Linked DNA regions of Saccharomyces cerevisiae S288C. The protein of the gene in region 1 interacts with the protein of each later gene in a biochemical or structural test. Each region holds a gene or a part of one and is shown on either strand. Other genes may lie near its edges.

Region 1 (9,317 bases):
GATATACATACTTACTCGTACCGTAAGACCAAAATCAACAAGGTTTACCCTAACAAGTATATCCAGGGTGGTGTGGTTGCCCCAGATGTGGGTCCTTTCACCGTCTATGGGCCCAAATTTGATGACGAAAACTTTTACTTAAAACATGACAGGCCTGAAAGACTCGCAATGGCCTATTTTGGACCTGATTCTAACACCTCGGAATTCATCATCACCACTAAAGCCGATGGAAATGAGGAATTGGATGGCAAAAGTGTCGTGTTTGGTCAAATAACTTCTGGTCTAGATCAACTAATGGATGCTATTCAATACACAGAAACAGACGAATATGGAAAGCCTCAGCATGAATTACGGTTCCTGTATTTCGTTCTAGAAATCTTAAAAATTAGTAACATCTTAGATTTGCACGCTGCGTACACAGAAAAAGTCGAGAAGTTTAGAAATGGCGATGTGTCTGTTGGCTCCACTTTGGAAAACATCTTCCGTAACGATAAAGCCTACACACCTTTAACCACCTCCACTGGAACCACCGCCTATGATTTAAACCACCCAATTTCCAGAGCCTTGATGTGTTTAACTGTTCTTGGCCTTTGTTTCATTGCCTACAAGGGCATGCACGAAAAGCCTCATACGGTTTCATTAAGACACAAGTAAGCAACTTCTTTTCGATGGCTTGATGACCACATGGCTATGATTTTAATTAATATATATACATGACAATTATTTTTTTATACATTAGCGATACCTAAAATTTCTTGGTTAATACCCTTTTGACAGCCTCTACTGCATTGCCCTTGATAATAATTTTTTTCGATTGCATCACCACAGACCATGATTTTTTGGGTATGAAAGGCAGTTGCTCCTGCAAGTCATTTCTTAGTTGAATTACATCTCCTTCAATCTTTCTGATCTCCGTGATAATCTTGTTACCTCCATTTTTATAAGCGGAATACACCGGTAGATTTCCGGTCCTGCTTCTCTCCACGTAGTAGGTCTTTTTACCAAAATTGTTGTTTCCTATGAGCTCATGCATCTTCACGTCTTCCAGCTTTGGAAATATTGGCGCCTCAGCAGCTTTATTTGAATTAGTGGATATACATCTTATCGTTTGGTATATCGAGGCAGTGGCAGGCCCTGGAAGGCATTTACCCCTACCAAAACATCTAGTAACACACGAACTGATCATAGTTTTGCTCACACGCTACCTTGGAGTAAGTTGCTTTAGGTAAACGGGCACTTCTTTCAAAAGGTTTTCCTTCTTGCTGGAGCTATACTGCTTATAGTACCATATTTTAAATTCATACCAAGCCATTCGTACGCGATGACCATTATAGATCGACCTTGCGACACCATCATATTTAATATTCAAAAAGAAAAAAATGCAGTTCTATATCACAGTTATATAATATTTATATGTGCATGTATGTTACTTGTCTTTGCACATAACTCAATGCGTCCACAATCTTACCATCTTGTCTTTCCCACCACTACACACTCTTTTACCGTCGACACTCCAGTCGACGGTATAAACTTCGTCTTTATGACCAGGGAGGTCAACAGAAAGTTTTCTAGTTCTTACATCCCACACTTTCAACGTGGTATCTTTGGAACATGACACCAGTAGTCGGCAGTCCGATGACCACGCAACCTGGTATACGCTGGCTACATGCCCTCTAAATGTGGAGATAAACTTACCATCTCTACCGTCCCAAAGTTTGATAGAGTTATCAAAAGACGCTGAGACAATATACCTACCATCAGGGCTGAACGCCACATGATTGACTAATTTTTGGTGACCGGTCATTCTTGCTATAGGCTTGGTAGATTTTAGTGGGTTCCATAAAAACATGGTATAATCATCGCTTGCAGTAACCATCATTTCTTCTGAATTTCCATTCTTTTTACAGATTTTTTCATAATTTTCCAATGCCTTTTTCTGGGCTTCTTCTGGTGTAGAAGGCTTCTTACCTGTATGATCGAATGCACCAATGCGCAATGCGTAATCTGTAGATAAAGATAAGTGATTAACCCAGTGCGCATGCGACTTCAAAATGTTGATACATCTGCCCTGCGAATTGATGTCCCATACACGTACGGTTCTATCGTGAGAGCCACTATACAATAGACCTTGGCCGCCCCATTTGACACAAGACACTGAATTTGTGTGACCACTCATCGTATACTGGCAAACTCTGCTCACAGTGTCCCAAATCTTAATAGTACCATCCTTAGAAGATGAAGCTAATCTTGGTTTGGAGCCCGGCTTCACAAGATGTATAGGTTCCCAACTTAAAGAAGTGATCCACTTGGAATGACCTCTGAGAGCATCACCTAGACACTGACCGCTTTTTGGGTCCCATAATCTTATGGTATTGTCCATGGATCCCGTAGCAATTACTTCTCCATCGGGGGACCAGGAAACGCAGAGAACCCAATTGTAGTGACCCTTTAGAGTATGCATTGGCGTTTGGGTGTCACAGTCCCAAATCCTTGCAGTATTATCACCTGCACCGGTTACCATCCTAGAACTCGTATGTGGTGCGAAGGCAGAACACAAAATTGTGGAACCGTGACCTGCAATGGCTGATGAACTTCTAGTTACCGGCTTGACTTTGAAAACTGCTCTTGGCGTATACAGTAGCGTGATCTGATCTTCTGTACTGTTATAGCCTGGTTTTATTAATGAAGAATATAGGTTATCTGTTATATCAATCGTCTTCACAGGGTCACTGGCCTTCTTACCTTGAATTGTACAGCTGAAGGTATATGGCACTGGATCGTCTGAAGTACCGTTCAATTGATTTAAAAGTTCTTCTAACTGTTTCTCGGAGATAGCACCGGGAACTCTCAGGGCGCCACCTACATTGTCACCAGTATCTAAAGCTTGGAACTTGATTGAAACATTGGGTAAATCTTTCGGAATAATAGCTACTTCTCTGGGAAGTTGAGCCTCTTTCTTTTGTTTCTTAGAAGGTGGAGGAATCAGGGTGGACATCTGTATATTGTGTTAGTGTGTGTTTATCGAGGTTACAAATATAAAAATCTTGTGATATATGTCTTTTAAAGATACTCTTTTTGAAGCTCATCGCATTTTTTTTTTTTTTTTCATTTTAAAATTTTTCACCGGTTTCTCGGGTAACAGCTCTAAATGAAATCTTGCCTTCATCACCATTATTGAATTACATTACATTATATATCGTAGTATATCATATTTTTAGACGTTGACCACTCTATGAGCTTAGGATAGGTACTTGATCTTTCTCTGAGTTGCCAAATGCTATTTCACGGATTTGTATCATCCAAGGGTCTATCAGTAGTTCCACAGCAGTAGCCCTCATAGTGGGGTCTTGAACCAAACACCTTTCCAAGAAGGCTCTTCCCGCTGCAGTCATTTCGTCTCTATTGGGTAGTTGCGGTATTCGACCTGCAGCAACGTGGTACATGATGGCCCATTCATTATCCAAGTTAGACCAAGGTCGTCTACCTGTGGCCATTTCTAGCACAACACATCCTAATGCCCATACATCGTCCGCTCCAAGTTTTCCCTTAACTGCCGAGCCTGAAATAGTCTCTGGAGCCATATACATCGGTGTCCCCATCATTTCATTGAGGGACTTTGTTTCTACTCCAAAATCTTGAACGGCTGCGTTCCGCACAGTTCTAGTCCTAGATCCTACAACGGTACGTGCCGTACCAAAATCCACATATTTTATGATTCCATTGAAATCCAGCAAGATATTCTCCGGTTTAATGTCGCGATGCACCACGCCAGATTGGTGCAAATATGCCAAACCTTCTAATAGTTCGAATGTGTACACTTGTGTTACCATTTCATCTTCAATTCTTCCATGATCCAATAACGAGGCTAAAGAACCACCCTCACAGTATTCCATGAAGATGTTAACTTTATCGCGATGTACTTCGACACCATAGTACTGGACAATATTAGGATGGTTTAACATTTCCAATACGGTCATCTCTTCTTTAATCAGGGGAAAAATCTTCTTCATTGTTGTGGTATCGTGTATCTTTATTTCCTTAACAGCTAAGATTTCACCGTTTTCCAGATTAATTGCAGAGTATACCTGTCCAAATGTTCCACCGCCAATGAAGCTTCTTTTTTGCCACCTCATTGATACATTCGATAATGAGGATGCTAGCGATAGTAGGTATTTGTTTCCCTGATCTGTAGCATCCAATACCTTACCCATTTGCCTGGGATTCCTCTTCATAGTCTTTTCCAACGTCTTTATAGCTTCCAGTCTCAACCTGCTGTTTATTTCTAGGGTGGCCTCTTCATCAATATTCTCTTCAGTATCAATATTCAATCTTGCCTGTTGCATGCCATTTTCAGCTTCAGTGGCTCGTGCACCCATAACGTCGAAATGTGAAATTAATAATGACATACATACTGATACCCTCTCCTTCAGTTCTTGAAATTGCTTTACATTCAGCGCCAGGATATTATAACCACTAGTCATCTGCATCGCAAAATCCATTGCAAGAACGCACCATCGGAAAGTTCGCTGATCGGTAGGATCACACTCTTCAACAAGGAATTTCAACCAGTTCATTCCTAATTTAACCATCAGAAAGATGATAACGTACTTCCTCTTTGAGCTAAAGGCGTTATATTTAAGGAAACTTCTTCCAAAATCCCTTCCAAACATGAATATCGAATTTAACAACTCATTTCCCGGACATTGCTTCATAAAGCTACCTAGAATTCCTTTGTAGTTGTTCAATACTGTATAAGTAAGTTTGTAATATGCCTTATTGATTTTTTGTAGGGAGGATTCAATTGAATTGAGTGAACAACGTTTCTCTATGAATGAAACAGAATCACCTACCGTTTGATTAAACTTGTCGATTTGATAAGTCAGTGCATAATTAGAACCTTGATTGAGTAAAATCAACGTATTTGGGTTACCAATTTTCCCTAAATCCATTTCGTTGGATGCAAAAAGGTTGTTACCTGGAAGCTTATATACTGGTCCATCCCAAACTACTGGCTCTCCAGGATATAGTACAACTAGTGCACCCAATGAGCTCAAAGCAACTTCCAATTCAAAAACTTCATTGTTCTTTTCATCAAGGTGCTGATCAAAAGGGTCTGTTGAAAAATTCTTCTTTTTGGACTGATGAGCATGCCTGTCCAAATCACTTGACGAATTTGCTACTACTCGGTAGTAAGGAATTCCTTTGGAATCCTCCCCTTTCGATACTAGAATGTTCAAATCTGTTTCTTTTGTTGTTATATCATACACATTCAAATTATTTCCAATGTCAAGCTTTGGGACCAAATCACAGCCAATGGATTTATTTCGCAAAATTCTTAAGATGGTATCATTGTCACAACCTAATAATTCAGGAGCAGCAAACATATATACACCACTAGACTCAAAAGTGTTACCGGAGTATACCAAAAAATAGTGAGCATCTTTTAACTTTTTAACAAGTTGTGCATTATGATTAATCTGATAAACAGCAGAATTTTGGAACGCCTTGACTAGAATATTGCTGAACCTGTTCAGCTTTCTTTTCATGGCACCCAAATTTTCGAAAATGGAACTTAGCCATTTTTCTGCTTCTGAAGCGTTAGCAAATGTTGGTGGGAAGTTTTGTTGTTTCAAAAGATAGAATTGCAATTTATGTACGAGTCTCAAAGTTAACTTGAGAAATTCATTTGGAATCACGGTTTCTGCACCGTTAATATAGTGACCGGTGTTTTTTAGGTGATCCCAGTATTTCAAGAGTAGATCGGGTGCTTTGAAATTTTGTTTACTGGAATCAATCAACTTTAAATTCAACAGAAAAAATAAATAACGAATGGCTTCTATTACAGTATTTTCGAACGTCGGGTCAAAATCCACATCGAACGGCAAATTGGAGCAATATTTTGTCAGTGTGTACTTCAATTGCACAGAAAGTCGAATAAAAGCGTTAAAATCATCGATCATTTGATCGATCATCATCATTGTTGGATTTTTAAGCTTTCGTGCATATGACAATCTAGTCAAAATAACTTCTTTGATTAAATAGACGGGGAACGCCAGTAGTGATCTTAACCTTTCATAAGGATATTTTATGTTCATCTTTGTCAAAGTTTCTCTGTAGACTATAAAATGTAGTTTCAGTTTGAACATCCAAGGTGATAGCGGATAGAAAATTTTTTTTTGGAATATAGACTCGATGTTCTTTTCCTTCATCAATTGTTCTGCAAGAATCTTCATTTTGCAGTTCCATTGGGGCACACCATCAAAATCCTCTTGGCAATTATCCGAACTACTTATCGGTGAGAAACGGTTTATCCAGTCGTCCAACTCTTGCCTCCTCAACGTTAAGTTCGTTTTAAAGTTCAGCCAAGAATTCATTACGTCTATTCTAGCGGTAAATTCTGCAGTATTGGTGATTGGTTTATCCTTATACATTTTTTTCAAGTTAGGCCAATAAGAGACAACGCTGTGATATCTGTTCATGAGGTCTTGTAAGATGGCCTCCAGTGCATCCAGGCTCAATATCTTGCCCTGTGGAATTTGAAACTTCATTATCTCTTCAAAAACGGAATCTGAACTATCTCTTAAATATGTAAGCGACTGTTCCATCTCTTGCATGGTCCTCCCATTCAGCCATGCCTTCAATTCGAGCCATATCTCATCTGAGAGCTCCTTATTTAACCCTGGTTTCTTGACTTGGTTAGCAATCCTCGTCTTTTCACCTTTAACAATATCTCCCTTCAGCACTCTGGCCAGCATTGACTGCCATTTGAACCGTTCGGTCGCAATTTCATTCCAAGCTAGTTCATCACTGTCTGACCTCATTTTCCTGCAATAAGGTGTAGTGGAGAAAAACTTGACACCTGAGTGCAGGTCTTCATCAATTCTGTCGCCATTAGACAACCGAATAATTTCGTCATCACCGTCGTCTTCCTCGTAGCGGTTAGTGAGTTTTATGCCCCTCGTGTAGTAGTCATCTAAAGCGGTCTTTTTTAGCTTTTTCAAGTATAGCGATTCATTGAAAACGTATCGGTCCTTAAAAGTCAGCTGACTGGGGCCGTCGCTTATTGTTTCCGAGCCACCCAATGCTTTCAAATCAGATCTTGATAGTTTATGGCTGGAATGACTTGATAATCTCTTCACGAGCTTACTTGAGATGGTATGAGGAGCCAGAACTCTCCCGCCTTCAGCCGCTTTTTGTTGCTGTGTATTCAGTATATCCATCATCATTTTCACCTACAAGGAACTACCTTTTATAGCCACCCTAAGTAAAACAACATTAGCTTAGCATCCTCAATTCTTATCGTATGTTGTTGCTGCTATTTTTATCCTATTGTTCCTGGCATCGCTTTTTTACATAAGGTACCAAGGCAAGAGAAAAGACCCGCGAAATTTTCAATTCGAGACATAGGGTTAATACGAAATATGTTAAGGTCTAGTTTCCAAAAAATGAAGAAAATGTGATTAGACATCCTGGGGAAATTAGGTTTAAATAGGGCGGGCGCTACAGGGGTTTTCCTAACAAATTTCAATGATAATAGTGGCATCATCATCGTCATATCCAGTGTAGGTATGGACTAGAACAGAAAGCAATTTGCAGCAAGACAATATGACTACGACGGTACCCAAGATATTCGCGTTTCACGAGTTTTCAGACGTGGCAGAGGCCGTAGCTGACCATGTAGTCCACGCGCAAGACGGTGCATTGGCTCCAAAGAACGAGAGGAAACACTCTGTTCCCAACATCAGCATGAATGCACTGGATATGACGAGAGAGGCCTCTTGCAAAAGCACAGCATCTGCCGCGGAAGGGAAAAGTGGTAGCAGTGGTAGTGGCAGTGGTAGCAGTAAGCCCAAAAAGGAGAAACGGTTCAAGATTGCTCTCTCCGGTGGGTCATTGATCGAAGTGCTACACGAAGGTCTGCTAAAACGAGACGATGTACGGTGGGGAGACTGGGACATTTACTTTGCAGACGAGAGACTTGTACCCTTCAGCTCGAATGAAAGCAATTATGGATGCGCCAAAAGGAAGATTTTGGACCTGATAGACACGGCGAAGTATGGAACTCCGAAGGTGTACCACATTGACGAGTCATTGATTGACGACCCGCAAGAATGCGCTGATAACTATGAAAAGGTGCTAATCCGCGGGTTTGCCGGTAGAGATTCCGTCAAACTTCCGATGTTCGACTTGTTCCTGCTTGGTTGTGCCCCCGATGGTCATATCGCATCACTCTTCCCTAACTTCCAGGACAATCTACGTGAGAAACTTGCATGGGTGGTGCCCGTGGAGAACGCTCCTAGTGGGCCCTCGACCAGAATTTCGCTGACTATACCTGTAATCTGCCATTCTCACAGGGTTACTTTCGTTGTCGAAGGTGCAACCAAGGCGCCCATCATCAAGACCATTATGGAAAGGCCTGAAAAGGGCCTACCTAGCAGTATTGTCAACGAAGGTGCTGCTGGTCGTGTATCATGGTTTGTTGACGACGATGCTCTTACGGACGTCCTCGTCACCAAAAAAAAGTATAAATTCCACCAAGGTTTGTCTATTTAAACCATGCATGTGTGTACATACATACATACACACATACATACATACATACATATATTTATGTATATTTATGTATATATATATATATATATATATGCGTAATTATGCAGATTTCTCCTTGTGTGCTACAGCGGGTACTCTGACGCCAGATCATGGCCTCGAGATCGATATACAAACCACTGCATGATAAAGATGAAGTTGAATATTAAAGTTACCATTGACAGTCCCACTTTTCCAAAATTTGTCACGAACGTATCCAGACTGAAACCTTGATCGTTAGACAACTGCCAAATCAATTGGAGCAGCGAGGCGATACCGCCAGTGACATCTAGAAACACACCCTGAATGGGGAAACAATCCATAGATTTTCTTGTCGAGTTATGCGTCACTTGTGGGATGTACTTGATTAGTGACATCGATATTTTGAGTAAAAACAAATTGTTGCAATACGCCAGAGTTCTTGAGTTATGCCAATCGTACCAGTAGTTGGAGTACATAAATTGTACGGTTAGCAGTGAAAAAATGGCCAGTGATGCGAGTAAAATCCTTAGGTACCATGGATTCATCTTGCGGTGACCTTTACCTGGAAATCGCCAGATTCTCGCTCCAGCTACCACCTGGGTCAATAAGACAACATTCATCAAGCACCCATGCAGGCAATACCAGAAATCAAATTGCGTCAACTTGGGCCTGCCCAAGTCAGACTCATCACCCGTCATTTTCCAGCAGTACAATTGCAAAAATATGGATATGACCAGGTAAGAGTA
Region 2 (7,848 bases), on another chromosome or scaffold:
GTCGTCCCGTGAAAAAGAGGCAAAAAAGTTGTGGAAATCATATTGTAACAGATACACTGACCAGATAACGGAGTACAATAACAACCGCATAGAAAATGCACAAGGCTCTGGTAATAACCAAAATACGCAGGTAAAAACGACCGACAAACTGAATTTTAGGCTCGAAAAACTATGTTGGGATGAAAAAATCATTGCTATTGTAGTGGAACTGTCTAAAGATAAAGATGGATGCATAATTGATGAAAACAATGAGAAAATTAAAGGGTTGTGTTGTCAAAACAAAATTCCTCATATTACGCTGTGCAAACTTGAAAGTGGTGTTAAGGCTGTTTATTCCAATGTTCTATGTGAGAAGGTTGAATCTGCTGAAGTTGATGAAAATATAAAAGTGGTGAAATTGGACAACTCGAAGGAATTTGTTGGCAGTGTATATTTAAATTTTTAGACCGCGGTCTGGCTGTCTTAAAAACGTTAATTTCGTTTAACCAAGTGCTTTATTTGCTTGGAATGTAACATAGTTTTACTAACATTTTTTTTTTTTAATTGACATTGCAAAATAATCAATGTATATCATTATTCATGCATCTATATCTGTATTTATATATTAGTTATTAAGAACACGAAAGAAGGATTATTTCAAGTCCTTGAAATTACCTTTATTATTAACAAAGATATCAATGGCAGACATAGCTGCATATAATCTGTTTTCTGCTTCTTCAAAGACTATGGAATGCTCTCCATAAAAGACATCATCACTAACTTCTTCTTGATGTCTTGGCAGACAATGCATAAATTTGTAGTTTGGATCAGCCACAGAGACAAGTTCTTGATTGATTTGAAAACCTTTGAATTGTTTCAGCTTGGCCTGTTTCGCAAATTCTTCACCCATGGAAACGAAAGTATCGGTTACTAATATATTGGCATTGGTGGAGGCCTTTAAAGAGTCGTGTGTTAATTCAAATGTCGCACCGTTTCTCTCAGCAACTTTCTTTGCTTCATCGACAATATCGGAATCCATTTCAATACCGGGGGGAGTGGAAATACTGACACTTATACCGAATTTCAGACATGCGATGCACATATCATTTATGACATTATTGGCATCACCAATCCATGCCATCTTCAATTTTGAATTGATTCCCTTATTTACTTCATCTAGAGATATATTGAAGTTTTCGATTATTGTTAAAAGATCACAAATTGCTTGCAAAGGGTGGAATTTGTCACATAGAGAGTTGATGATCGGTACAGAGGAATCCTTGCAAAAAGCAAGTATGTCTTCATGTTTGTTCACACGGGCAAAAATACATGAAACCATAGATGATACAACCTTGGTGGTATCGTAAAATGATTCATTGACACCAAGCTGAATATCCTCTTTACCTAAAAACATCGGTTGGGCACCAAAGAAGGTGGCTGCACCTTCGGTCGAAATTCTCGTTCTAGTTGATCTTTTAGTAAATATTAAGGCTATAGTTCTACCCAATAGTTTCAGATGGTTGGATTGGAAATCATTCGTTTTATTTGCTTTAAAAACATTCTTGAAATGTTGAGCTCTTTGTACTAAGATTCTGAATTCTTCATCAGAAAGATCTTTTATAGAAATCAAATGACGTAAAGATGAAGGCGTGGATGCTGTGGTTGACATGGTAACGAGTGTACAAGTTGATGGGTAGATGGCTAAAAAAAAAAAAAAAAATTGCTCGTTATTAACTGTACTTAAAGGACATACAAGGAATAAACTGCCTTTAGAGGTGAAAAGTCGATTTATATAGGTAGATTTTTTTGGATGGACGGGAATGGGAAGCCGCGCCGAAGAAAGAAACGGTGACCAATCCGGCTCAAAAAAATTTGTCCGGGCATTTCTCAGCGGCCGATACTGCTGTGAGTTGCACTTAACGGAAAAAATGACCAGTTTTTTGTCATCTCGAAACGAAACGGAACAAGAAAGCATATGAGTCACGACGTGACCCTCGAAAATTCACTGCTATCAGAGGAAGAGCTGAATGAGTAATACGAAGGAGCGTAATGTTAGAAGGTCGAGTTCAAAATATTCTGGATCTTGAATTTTTGTTTACTGGAGTCATGGTTGCTAACGATGTCTCGGTTATCTAAAATAATATGATCTAAATATTTTTTCTTAGAAGACGTAACTGATGGCGAATCAGGGTTTAAATTTAAATTTGTATCTGTGTTGAAATCTACCGAATTGCTATCTCTGTTTTCAAATAGGGATAACCTTTGTGAAAGCTCTTTATTCCTATTCTTGCATTTATTTTTACTTTTTTTAAAAGGAATTTCTAGTGGTAAGCTATTGTCACTGTCACTATCCTCTTCATCATCATCTTCCGCATATCCTTCATCTGTTTCGTAGTCATAGTTTTCAAAGTTGTTCATAAAAATTTTATTAAAATCGTATGGTGACGCATCTAGGAAATTGGAGTTAGAACTCGAGTGTTGCAAAAGGTTTAGCTGGGTATTGACCTTAGACGCGAAATTCGACTTGACTGAACTTGAATTAAAGCTCGATACGGCATCCAAATATCTCAATTTATTCAAACTTATTAACAATCGTTGCTCTTCTTGTGAGTAATGGATTGTCTCAAAAGGAAGTAATTTGAAATTGATTTTGAGGATTTGTAAAAAAGGGTTTGTGGAAAATTCATCATAGTACCATATTGGACACCAGTGATTTAAAAAGTTTTGAAATTTTTCAAACTTTATTTTACTTGAGTGGGGCTGGTTTTGACCACTTTCGTATTTAAGTGATAATGACCAATTGTTTAAATTGTTTAAACATAAGTCAATAATGTCAATACTATTGAAGGGCGTAAAATGGTAGAGATTTAGTTGCTGTGGTTGTAACTGTTGATTATCATCATTATTAGAGTCATCTGTAAGAATTAAAAAATATAGGGACAATATCTCTAACGAGATATCCTCTTTCTTCAAATCTTGGTCCCCTTCCTTTAAAGTCATTAATTTTAAACTCAAGTAAAATAAAGTTAATTGAATCTCCACAAAATCAGGTTGATTGAGTTTGTGATTTAGACCCGTCAAATTCTTAAGTAGTAAATTTGTTGTTAGTTTTTTATTTGAACTGGATGTTAAGAATCGGAAGTTATCGTGATCACTCAAATTGTGATAAAGGTTCCACAGTAATAAATTTTTTTTAAAGCTTTCCAGTTCATTCTGGAAAAATTGGAAATTTGGGTCCGAAACATTTAAAGATGAGATATTCAACAAATTACATCCATCCAAAGAATATATGATGAAGTTTAACAAAATTTCAAAGGGCTTCAGCCTGGGGATTTCTAGAACCGAGATTGATTTCGGTTGAAATTCTTCAGTTAAAAAGTTGGACTTTGGTAAACCTTGAATTAAGGACCACCATGAGCTTAAGAATTGAAAGCACCAAAATGTCACTATTCTATCATCCTCTTCATTAGATTTATTATTATTATTGTTGCCTGATATAGGAATTAAATTTTTGGGATTTATGTACAATCCCATATTCAAAATATTTGTAAAGTTTAGGTTTAGCAAATCATTGGTCCATATTACTGAATTTACATTTGAATGTTCTGTTAACGAGCTTTTACTTTTACAAGAGTCAACAGAGGCGCCCATAAAATAAAAGATGGATAAGTTAACCAATTGCAAAACTTTCAAGTCTAATTTGCTGTTTGTTGTCAGAGAAACAATAAGCTTCGTGACTTTAAAAAGCTTGAAATCATCAAAACAAGACCAAGTAAATTGAATAATATAAAGTAACGCCAGTAGAGTTATGGGTTCACCTGTCATTGCGGTTGAATTAATCTTGTCTAATAGCAAATTTTTCCATAAATTTGTAGGGTATAATAGAAGTAGCAAAGAATTTTGCCTTTTAAAAAAATCTTTAATAATGACAGACAACAAATTTTTCAAAAACTGAAGGTTATAATCATATTTAAGTAAAAGAAAATTTGGGAGATGATTAAAGTCACCATTCAGGTTCAAAAAATTTGTTAACAGTTGCAGTTGTAGATCAATATTATTTCGATCGTCTGTAAAAACTACTGCTTTTTGAGTAGGAAAAGTATTAGTTAGAATATTCCATGTCAAATGTCCCAAAAACCTTTGATTTTCAGACTGAGTGTTGTAATTATCAAAACAATAAAATGTATCATTAATGAACGGCAAATTAGAATTTGCATTGGCGCTGGAACTCGCATTCATATTTGTCAAACGGACGACCTCTTTTTCTAGTAGTTCTGTATACCCCTTTGGAAGACCTCTCCTCGACAGTTTATCCGAGGTTTTGCAAGGGAAGTCAATTTTCGCACAGTTTGAACAGTTCGGTTTTAAACCGTCACACTTGATTTTTTTCAGTCTGCATCTATCGCAAGCATGCGCCTTTCTGACAGAGAAATCAGTGATTGCGTTAGAGGAGCTTTGACCGGTTGGTACTATCAGGACTTTATTGCTGCAGGAATCTGTATCATCGAGGGAATAAGACCTGCCATATTTCCTCTTGGCCATCGTCTATTCAGAGTAGCGAGAAGAAAAAAAGAAGCAAAAAAAAAAAAAAAAAACGAGCAAAAGAAATCGAGCAAAGGAGAATGAGCAAAGGATAAACGGAAAACAATGGTAAAGAGGATTAGCCGCTGAACTAGATTGTAAATTGAAGCGGAAAAGAAAACAAAGGAGAGGAAATCGGAGAGGCAGAAAGCTTTCTGCCTTATATACTTTTTTTTTTGCCGCCGAGTTCTGAGATCACGCCCTTAAATTTAGCCGCCAAAACACCGGTCGAACGGCGAAAATGGATCGGAGTCTTGATTGCACCCACACCTCGCATTTTGTGCACTAACATAAAATATGACGAAGTGAGAGTCATGACACACAGAATAACTTAAAAATACTTGAGGAAAAAGTTCTCATATTATGAGGTCATAATAACTACATCGTTATTGTTGCGATATAACTTCAATGTTTTCTGCCTGCAAAAGAATCCTTCCTTTTCCTTCTTTAATTGAAGAGTCCATGTAACCTTGTTTCGTTACTTATATTTATTCACCTTTCTACTTTAGTCACATAACGTAATCTGGGCATAATCATTGAGGTATCATTATTAGCTTGAACTCGTGGTTCCTATTGTCGCCAGGTTTCTTTCAACGCATTTGCTCTTTCCGCTTCGCATACGGCGGTGATCAAATGCAAAACTTACCCTCATCAGTATAAGAGAAGAAAAACTGCATGGACTATTCGCGTATTGCCTGGTAAAGCTATATAGTACTATTGGTAATGTTTGTACTGTTTTATGTACATGATGAATAAGAAGAGACAAATTTTACGTGATATATAAGTCTTCTATTTCTAGTATGGCAGGTATTTTATCAGTAGCATTAATATTACTATGAAGCCCTTTCAAGGAATAACATTTTGTCCGACTGCAATAAATAATGAAATCTTAGCTAAAAAAATATCAAAGAAAATTATTAAGTTAGGAGGTATATTTTCTAAAGATTTGACCAGACAAGTTAATGTCCTTGTTGTTGGGTCCACCACCAATACAAACAAATTTAAATTTGCGGTGAAGCATAGATTCGATATCATATTTATTGACATTCAAGCCATTGATGACATTTATCAGCTCTGGCTGTCTGGAGAAAATATATTGCCGGACTCTAATACGGCAACAATGACAGGATCCACCTATGAGATGCTGAAGATACTTTACCGGCGATTTTCGTTTAAATATTTGCATAACTTCAATATCTTCATTGGCAGAATAACCGACACTAACATAACTTCCATCGATTCATTGGTTAGGAGTATTAAAAAGTTAGGGTGTTCTAGTTATAACTATCAAAACTTTGTAATCAAAGATACCTCTTCACACAATGATGACGATGATCAAGGTCAGAATGGGCAGATATCCATTTTTGTTACGGATACTTTACTAGGAGCAAGAGTTAACGCTGCTATTGAACAAAATATACCTATTGTACATTTCAAATGGATTCTCGATTGCCAAAAAAGAAGCGCACTGTTACCGTACGATCCCTATTATCTTTTACCAAATATTAAAGACCTGCCCTATGATTCAATCGGATCAAACTCTTGCGATTGCTGGGATAAAATAAACACCACCTTTCCAACCAATATCGATGCCCAATCCTCTCTGCAGCGGCAGCAATCCTCCAGTACCCTGACTCCTTCGCTCCCGAAAACATCATCCCTCTTGAATAAATTTAAACCAAAGGGTGAAAAAATATGGGACAAGGCAATGTCTCTACAGCAGCATAGTAAGACAAATTTTTCAGTACTAGGGCAGTCACCATTATCGATAAATAACAAACAAGAAGATTTAAGTGATAATAGTACTTTGATTTTCAAAAATTGTGCGTTTATCATTCATCATATTTTTCCTGGCAATCACCGTTCAATACTAACCAAAATTGTTGTTCAAAATGGGGGTAAAATTGAGACGTCTTACTTGAGCGGCATTTACGATCATTCTTATTACATCATTCCAAGTAATAAAGCTCTTGACTCCTTCAATGATTTACCTGAGATTATAGATGATAATGATGGTATAGTTACAGAATTTTTCATTGAACGCTGCTTGTATTATCAAAAATTACTACACCCAATAGATTTATGGTCAAAACCCTTCCTCAGCACAATAGAGTTTCAAGTTTCGTCTTCTTCAAAGTTATTGCATCATGAATTTTCTTCTTCCCCTTTTCTGAATGTTACTATCACTGGATTCTCTGGCGTAGAGCTGTTACATCTGACTAAAGTATTAAATCTTCTAAAACCAATGGGCATCAATTATGTAGAATACCTCAATAAATCCACTGACATTCTGCTAATCAACTTAGCAGCTTTACCCAGTATCCCGAAAACCCATCCGTTATGGTCGAATGAATTTAGCGATCTTTTTACTCAGTTTTGCATTAATAACAATAATGATGATCCTGGTGATAATAACAGAAAAGATTTTCAAAATAATTCAATCTTGAGAAATTCGATGAAAAGGAAAATTGAATATATCAAGAAATTCCACTCCATACCGGTAGTTACTCCAGCATTTATTTTTAAATTATTGTCCGCTGCATCTGGAGAAAATAATGAAATCTTTTTAAACAATATCAAGTGGTGTATTATCTGCCCAAGAGGACACAAGGACGATTTTAAATGTAAGATAAAAAAACCATACTATACCAGCATTAGTTCAGAAAAAAAGTACCAAAACAATGATCCAAAAATCGACAAAACTATTCTTTTGAAAAGAAACAATTCCTCATTATCGGAGCACTCTATGAAAGATACCAAAAACGAATTATTGCAGAAAATTAGAGAAACTGATTCTGGAAGAAAAAAGCGTAGTGTCTCATCGAGTATCATGGATGTTTCTTCAGAGAGACAAATGCCGGATACGAAAAGGATCAAGTTGGAGTCACTGCCAAAAAATTTCGTTCCTAAACAAATTAAACGAACCACGAGTTGGGGCACAATAATGTCAGAAAATGTGCCTACAGAGCAGCCGACTGCAATTTCTAATCCAGAAGAGATCCCAAGAACTGAGGAAGTTTCACATACTCAAGTTACCTATGGCTCCATTCAAGATAAGAAACGTACTGCCTCTTTAGAAAAACCTATGAGACGACAGACAAGAAATCAGACAAAGGAATTAGATTCTTGAAATGTAGTCCGTAATTTTATAAGATATTCATTTACATACGCCATCTACAGCATTATTCAAATCTACTCATCTATATGTATTACCGTTTTGTATGATAATACTTTCCATGACATGCTCGCGTGAAAAAACAGCATGAGAAAAAGAGGATCGCAATAAGA
Region 3 (6,975 bases), on another chromosome or scaffold:
GACACATTATTCTTGTTTTTATGAATAGGCGCTGGTCGGCGCACCTGTATGTACTATTATTTTTTTCTCTATCTATTTCTTGGTTCGGAAGTCCCCACCGCCTTGTTTCCATAACCAAAGTGCATCAATAGCATAATTTCTGACTGACAAATTTCTAGTGAATTTCTCATCAGAGGAGATTTCTAAGGATTCGATGACTTTTCCGTCTTTAATCAAGTCCCAAAACATGGAATAGATCTTATCCATAACGTTCGATATGCTTCCGTCTTCCTTGTATGTGTCTGCATCTATTTCTGGCACTAGCTGGTAGTAGCTTTTTTGGCCTAGCTTATAAAGTATTCTCCCCAAAGTTTGTATAGCAATGCACCTTTGAGAAGGAAAAGTGGATCTTGCTAAATGTTCTAACTCCACTATGGTGTAACCGGCGAGTTCAGGCGAGTCGCTGTGATGGTGCAACCCTGAGTGAATGGTAGAGTCTATTTGTCTTGTGGGTGGAACAAGGTCGCCATTAAAGTCAAACCTACATTCAGATACGTCTTCAATGATGTAATTCTTGTCTGTTTTTTGCTGAACCGGTTGCATCCATTTTAATTTGTCGACCTCTTTGGGCAAATCAGGGAAGTATTTTTCGTGTAATTTATCGTTGAAATTAGGATCATTTATATCAAGTTTCTCTAAATTGATTTCATTTTGGCTCTCCTCTTTGATAAAATGAACGTCTTTGAATAGCTCTTCATTTTTCATATGATCAATGCATTGTGCCATCTGGAAATCTAAGGGTGCGATATCATCGACGTCATCATTAGTTTTTGCTTCTTCTTCCACGTCTTTTTCTTTTCCTGCTTCTTCAAATTGAACATGTTTTGCATCTTTGCCTAACATAGGCCTAATTTCTAAGGCAACGTCTACATCTTCATCGTCTAACGGTGGTAGATCGTATATGCCTTGCTTGTTGCCACCTACCCAGGTACCAGAAGCGCCTTCTATTTCTGCAAATAATGGAGTGTTGTTTTCGTCCTTCGCTCTTTTATTTATGTTTTTCAATAGCTTGGCAATCAGTTTGGGATCTAAAGAGTTATACAGATCCTCACGTTCTTGCACGATTTGTTCATCACTCATTCCCTGCAGAACTTTAATATTTTCATTATGGATAGATTTTGCCTCGGATAGTGGGGCGTCTGTACTCGTTTGTTGCTTTTCAGCATCCTTGCCACTAGTTTTTTTCTTTTGGGCTCTTTTTTCTCTTAGTCTTTCCTTCCAAGATGATATTTTCTTGGGTTTGTACAACTCGGGAAATCCCGTTCCACAGTTGTTGGTACTAAGAGTGCCATTGTCATTACTTTCAACAGAGTCAGATGTATCTTTCTCCACTATATCGCCCAGTAAGTCCATTACGATGGTGGCAGAGTGATTTATCTTCTTTGAATGAGGGAAAATGAATATATTAAACTATAGATTTACTTAGCCGACAGCGATGAGATGGCTTGCCATTACATTATTATTCATTTCAGGTACATAGAAGTACCGAAAAATGAAAAAGAAAAAATAAAATAGAAAAAAAAGAAAGAAATGAAAAAAAAAGGGTAGCAAAAGAGCCACACATCACTTATTACGAAATTCTGCGGAGGAGGATAACGTAGAAAGAGTCACTCATGCTAAACTACCATAGTTATCATCCGAGGAGGAGAGGTGTGAGTACCGGGCCTCGTTCTCCTCATATGGATGACAGCTGATCACGTACAAAGCATGGATCAGACCAGGGAAAAACCCTAGTAAAAATAACAGAAAGTTAATGAGCAGATCCTTGGTAAAAAAACCTCTTTTTAGCCAGACTGCTAAGGGAGGAATGAAAATTGCAATAAAAACTAAAAACCAGTCGCGGGCGTGCATAGTGTAATTCTAAAGTTGTATGTTCTCTAATACGATGACTGGTACTTGCAAAATGCTTATTCGAGGACTAACTAAGATCGATCAGTAAAGATCTCTTGTCAATCAAACCTTTCTCGCACAATAGGAGACAGGAAAAGGGGAAAGAAAGTCGAAAAAGTGCGGGTTCCGGTACATGGATTATATCGCCCCGGGACAATGCGCGTTGCCCCTCACCGGCCCGGAATATACGCGTGGTTGCGCTCTTTCGTTACCCGCGACTGTTTTGGCGCCCCATTCATGCTACGCGGATCTGGACCTGCTTATTTCCCGAGAATACGTCCCGAAAAAGTAATGCAGTTTCCGAAATGGGCGCGGTAAGGGCCTAGGCCCAACGTTGGGCCTTTTTCAGTTCCAAAAAAACGACTCGTTGGGAGCCGTGCGGTCCCGTCTTCGGGCGTGATTGGCCGCTTTGGCCGCTTCTGGGCGTAGGACGCCAAAGTTTATTTCCAAAATAGCGAAGACCAGAGCCACGCCTTTTCTTTTTGCAAGCGGAATATCCGCTTGAGAAATGAGAAAAAGAAAGCAGAAAAAAAATCATCGCTTTTTTCACGTTTGTTACATGAGATATGGTGCTGTGTGTCATCGCGGTGGTTTTCCTGGCTTTTCTCCTCATATATAAGGAACTCGAGAAATTCTTGATTTTCTTTTCCATCTTCTCCTACTGTATTATTTACTTTATTAGTTAATATTGTTTTTGATTTTAGAGGAAAATCATCATTAAACATAAGTTTCAATCAACACTAATCATCAACAAAACAATGCAATTCAAGACCATCGTCGCTGCCTTCGCTACTGTTGCCGCTGTCCAAGCTGCTAACGTTTCTACCAATGGTTCCAACCGTACCAACGGTTCCAACACCACCAGCACCAAGATCTCCACTGGTGCTGCTGCTTCCAACGCTTTGGGTGCTGGTGTCTTCGGTGCTGCCGTCGCTGCCGGTGTCGCTTTCTTATTCTAAGTTCTTTAATTTTGAGTTTAGAGACATTATACTCCTATAATATCGAAAAAATTTTTTTATTATCGCTACACAATCAAGTTTTTATGTGCTTTTTTAATAATATTATTATAGAACAAGAAGAAAGACCGCTCTTTCCTTGAAGGGACCAAAGAAGGAAAAAAAATATGTTGGAAGGGTTTTATATGATCTTTTCATGTTCGTTCACTTGTAATGGAATATTAGTTAGAAGATGTAAATAACTTATCTGTTTATTTTTATTTCCTCTCTATAATTATTACCTGTATTAATTCATTATCTAATATAAAATCTAATCTAATAATAGAATTTTCTGATGTTTATCTTTTTTTTTGTCGTATTCTCGGCGAATTAATCGCGGAAAATTTCATATCGAATTTTAAAGGAATGTCATTTTGAACGCTAAAGTATTATTTATTCTCGTCCGATGTTGGTTTTTTTTCCTATCGCTGTCGTTATAATAGTACTTGACGAAGAGAGAAGAAAAGTAAAAATTTGAGCGAAAAAGAGGATAAAAATCACATTGAGGCAGAGTGGTTAAGGTAGCTGTACCAGTCATTTTGAATACATTTTTCTGGATGTTCCATCAATAATGGATTTTTATACTACTGATATCAACAAAAATGTTGTGCCTTTGTTCAGTAAAGGAACAGTAGCAAGAACAGCATCAAAAGCACAGTATCCATCATGGTGCAACAACGCGTTAAAGTTAACTAATATTCTTCTTAAATCTCTTCGATGTAAATTTCAAACGAACCGCTGCGAGGATGATCGAGGTTTTGAGGTATATTGTGTTATTTTAAAAAGCATCGCTTTATTAATGGCCGCGAAAGAATCATTGATATTACTACAAATACCTCCTTCTTTACCATCAGGATTTCCATTTCGTTCACCCCAACTGTCATTTACATATTTATCAACCCGTCTTAGTGGGAGCCAACACAAATCTACGCATTCTCATCACATCAATCATCAAACTCATCCCATTCATAGTAGCAGTAGCAACAGTAATAGTAATAACCGTATTCCTACAAAAACAGATTCCTCCAAACAGCATACACAGCATTTCTCTTTTGCTAATGCGGGAGCCTCCAATAGAGACGAACTGCTATCAATCGTGCGCAAAATTGATAAATCTAATTTGAAGTGTTGTGACTGCGGTAGCACCGCAACAGTAGAATGGGTGTCAATCAATTTATTGTGTATATTGTGTATCAAATGTTCGGGCGTTCATCGATCTCTGGGTTCACATATCTCCAAAATTAGATCTTTAACGCTGGATAATTTCACCTCGTTAGAGTTGATGCATCTTTTACAAAATAATGTTTCCAATAGTAATGTTAATGCCATTTATGAAAGCAATCTCAGGAACTTTCCAGTTAAAAAAATAACTGCAAATTCTGATGACTCGGAAAGATCCAAATTCATTATTGATAAGTATCAATTTAAAAAGTTTGTTATCGACAGCAACCAAGGCAGAGAGGCTTCTTTGAAGTCTTTAATTAAAGCTATCCATTTAGATAGTGTTTTCATGATGCAAAGAGCCATCGCCCAAAGTAAATATTCCCTAAGAGAATTGACGGCAAGCGAAAAAGAGCAGAATGATCTAAACCATTCTTCCATTTTTCAATATTCCCTAAAGCACTATGAAATTGTTGATGGAACGCCCATTTTTTTTATTACAGAATTTTTATTGTGCAATGGTATTCATATAGATAATTTACCGAAGATTACTACGAATTGGTCTCCAAAGGTTTTAGAATATTGGGAAACTAAGTTGGAGATGTACGGAACATTCCAAGCTGTAAATACTTCTCGTCCAAGATCAGGGCCGCATTTAAATATGCATTCAAATGTAGATTCAGCTTCGTCCTACAATAAGAAACACGATTTGAGAGTTAACATACCTGAAAGAAGTGCCTCAGCAAGTAAAAGGTGGAGTTTGAGCTCCATTCCTAAGTCTTCTCAAAATTTGATGTCCCCAACAAACTTATTAACAATGCATAAGTCTTTAAAATTGGCCAAAAAGGACAAAAAATAACATATATGATAATTTAACTGTATTTTTTTCCCTTTTCTAATACTTTTTCCTCAAGTTATATTTCGGAGCTGTCCCAGGTTCGGAACAATGCGGCATCAGGGATAAAAAAAAATGACACATAAAAACGAAAAAGACACAAATTCCATTTTTTTTTTTTGACGCGAAAGAATGACACTACTTTCTTCTATTGTAACCATTTCTAACATCGATATTTTACTTGTTAGTTCAGATATATACTAAAGAGTCACTTAATATACTGTTTTTGTTTATTATCTTGGTTCCAACTGCTTCATTTAATATTTCCTATCCAAAAAAAGCCAGCTAATTCTCTTCTTTTTTTTTCTTATTTTGCCATTTTCAATATTATCGATTTAGTGAACACCTGGCTAGTCAGTTGTCTTAGCAAACATTTCTCAAAAGAAAGCAAACCAGCATTTGCTTTTTAAATTTAGTTTTTTTACTAGCTAATTCATTTACTAAACAACAAAAGAAAATAGCACAAAATGGAAAGCAAAGAAATATCAATTAGGTCAAGAACCCCTCCATCGAAGCTATATTCCATCCAATCATGTATTGGCAGAGGTAACTTTGGTGATGTGTATAAAGCAGTGGATAGAGTTACGCAAGAAATTGTGGCAATTAAGGTGGTCAACCTGGAGCATTCCGACGAAGACATTGAACTGTTAGCACAGGAAATTTTTTTTCTGGCGGAATTGAAATCTCCTCTTATTACAAACTATATTGCAACAATGTTAGAAGATGTCTCTATGTGGATTGTCATGGAATATTGCGGCGGTGGATCATGTTCAGATTTACTGAAGCGAAGTTACGTCAACGGTTTGCCTGAAGAAAAAGTTTCCTTCATTATTCATGAAGTCACCTTGGGTTTGAAATACCTGCATGAGCAAAGGAAAATTCATCGTGATATCAAAGCAGCTAATATTTTACTAAATGAAGAAGGTATGGTTAAGTTGGGTGATTTCGGAGTAAGTGGCCACATTCGTTCCACTTTGAAAAGGGACACTTTTGTAGGAACGCCGTATTGGATGGCTCCGGAAGTTGTTTGCTGCGAAGTTGATGGGTATAATGAGAAAGCAGATATATGGTCCTTGGGTATCACCACCTATGAGTTACTCAAGGGCTTACCCCCATTATCTAAATATGATCCTATGAAAGTTATGACTAACTTACCAAAAAGGAAGCCTCCAAAATTACAAGGTCCCTTTTCGGATGCAGCAAAGGATTTCGTAGCTGGTTGTCTTGTTAAAACACCTGCTGATCGGCCATCGGCATATAACTTGTTATCATTTGAATTTGTTAAGAATATCACCATAACGAACTTGAAAAGTGATGTTGATCTAATTAAACAGAAAAAGGTTCAGGAGAGATATACAAAAGTTCCCAAATACCCTCTTCAAAATCGCTTGTATAAAAACAGCAACACAGTGAGGGGAAAGGAATTTTGGAATTTTGAATCGACAAGACTAAGCACAACACAAATTTCCAAAGAGGAATTATCTCCCATTACACAAGACTCTCCAACATCATCTTTAAATATGGAAAGTCCTTATTTACTTCATGGGCAAACTGTAACGCCGATAACCAACCCAAGTTCTTCATCATTTAGAAAATGTACGCAACCAGTTTTCGAGCTTGATTCAGGAATGGATATAGATTCAGGCTGCCCAAATGCTCAAGCAGAGACCGAAATAGTTCCTCTCTCTAATCATAATAAGAAGCATAAAAAGAACGATATTCAGGCGTTGAAGATAGAAAAGTTTGACTACTTGAAAAACATTGTATCTCATATTCTCAACAGAATGTATGATCGTGCGCGCGACGATGAAACAAGAAAATACGTAAATGAAATGTTAAAGCAATTCATTAAAACTGAGGCAAACGTTCCTGGATTTAATGAGGTTTTTATAGAAGAGATCTCACTAAGAATTGAAGCAATAAAGAAAGGATTCGTTTAAAAAAATAGATATATATATATAATGTGTGTATATGCATGAGTTTTTGTTTTCCATT

What was found.
Region 2: of the proteins of SSK22 (region 1) and SIP4, one has a biochemical effect on the other in vitro, tested with the Saccharomyces cerevisiae proteins (one large-scale study listed by BioGRID).
Region 3: of the proteins of SSK22 (region 1) and AGE1, one has a biochemical effect on the other in vitro, tested with the Saccharomyces cerevisiae proteins (one large-scale study listed by BioGRID).

The regions. Positions count from the first base shown.
Region 1 is NC_001135.5:239,358-248,674, forward strand, and holds SSK22 (mitogen-activated protein kinase kinase kinase SSK22), read right to left. Parts: upstream 7,227-9,317; coding exon 3,231-7,226; downstream 1-3,230. Other genes in the region: peptidylprolyl isomerase family protein CPR4, read left to right, coding at 1-654; mitochondrial 54S ribosomal protein mL49 IMG2, read right to left, coding at 746-1,186; RSA4 (Rsa4p), read right to left, coding at 1,448-2,995; SOL2 (Sol2p), read left to right, coding at 7,606-8,553; cystinosin-like protein ERS1, read right to left, coding at 8,676-9,317. UniProt on the Saccharomyces cerevisiae protein: Kinase involved in a signal transduction pathway that is activated by changes in the osmolarity of the extracellular environment. Activates the PBS2 MAP kinase kinase by phosphorylation.
Region 2 is NC_001142.9:262,599-270,446, reverse strand, and holds SIP4 (Sip4p), read right to left. Parts: upstream 4,522-7,848; coding exon 2,032-4,521; downstream 1-2,031. Other genes in the region: TRL1 (tRNA ligase), read left to right, coding at 1-445; ARG3 (ornithine carbamoyltransferase), read right to left, coding at 632-1,648; protein kinase activating protein DPB11, read left to right, coding at 5,396-7,690.
Region 3 is NC_001136.10:1,485,511-1,492,485, reverse strand, and holds AGE1 (GTPase-activating protein AGE1), read left to right. Parts: upstream 1-3,495; coding exon 3,496-4,944; downstream 4,945-6,975. Other genes in the region: RBA50 (Rba50p), read right to left, coding at 73-1,392; SNA2 (Sna2p), read right to left, coding at 1,651-1,890; API2 (Api2p), read right to left, coding at 2,252-2,581; YDR524C-B (uncharacterized protein), read left to right, coding at 2,688-2,888; YDR524W-C (uncharacterized protein), read right to left, coding at 2,994-3,083; putative serine/threonine protein kinase SPS1, read left to right, coding at 5,448-6,920. UniProt on the Saccharomyces cerevisiae protein: GTPase-activating protein (GAP) for the ADP ribosylation factors ARF1 and ARF2. May be involved in the endocytic pathway.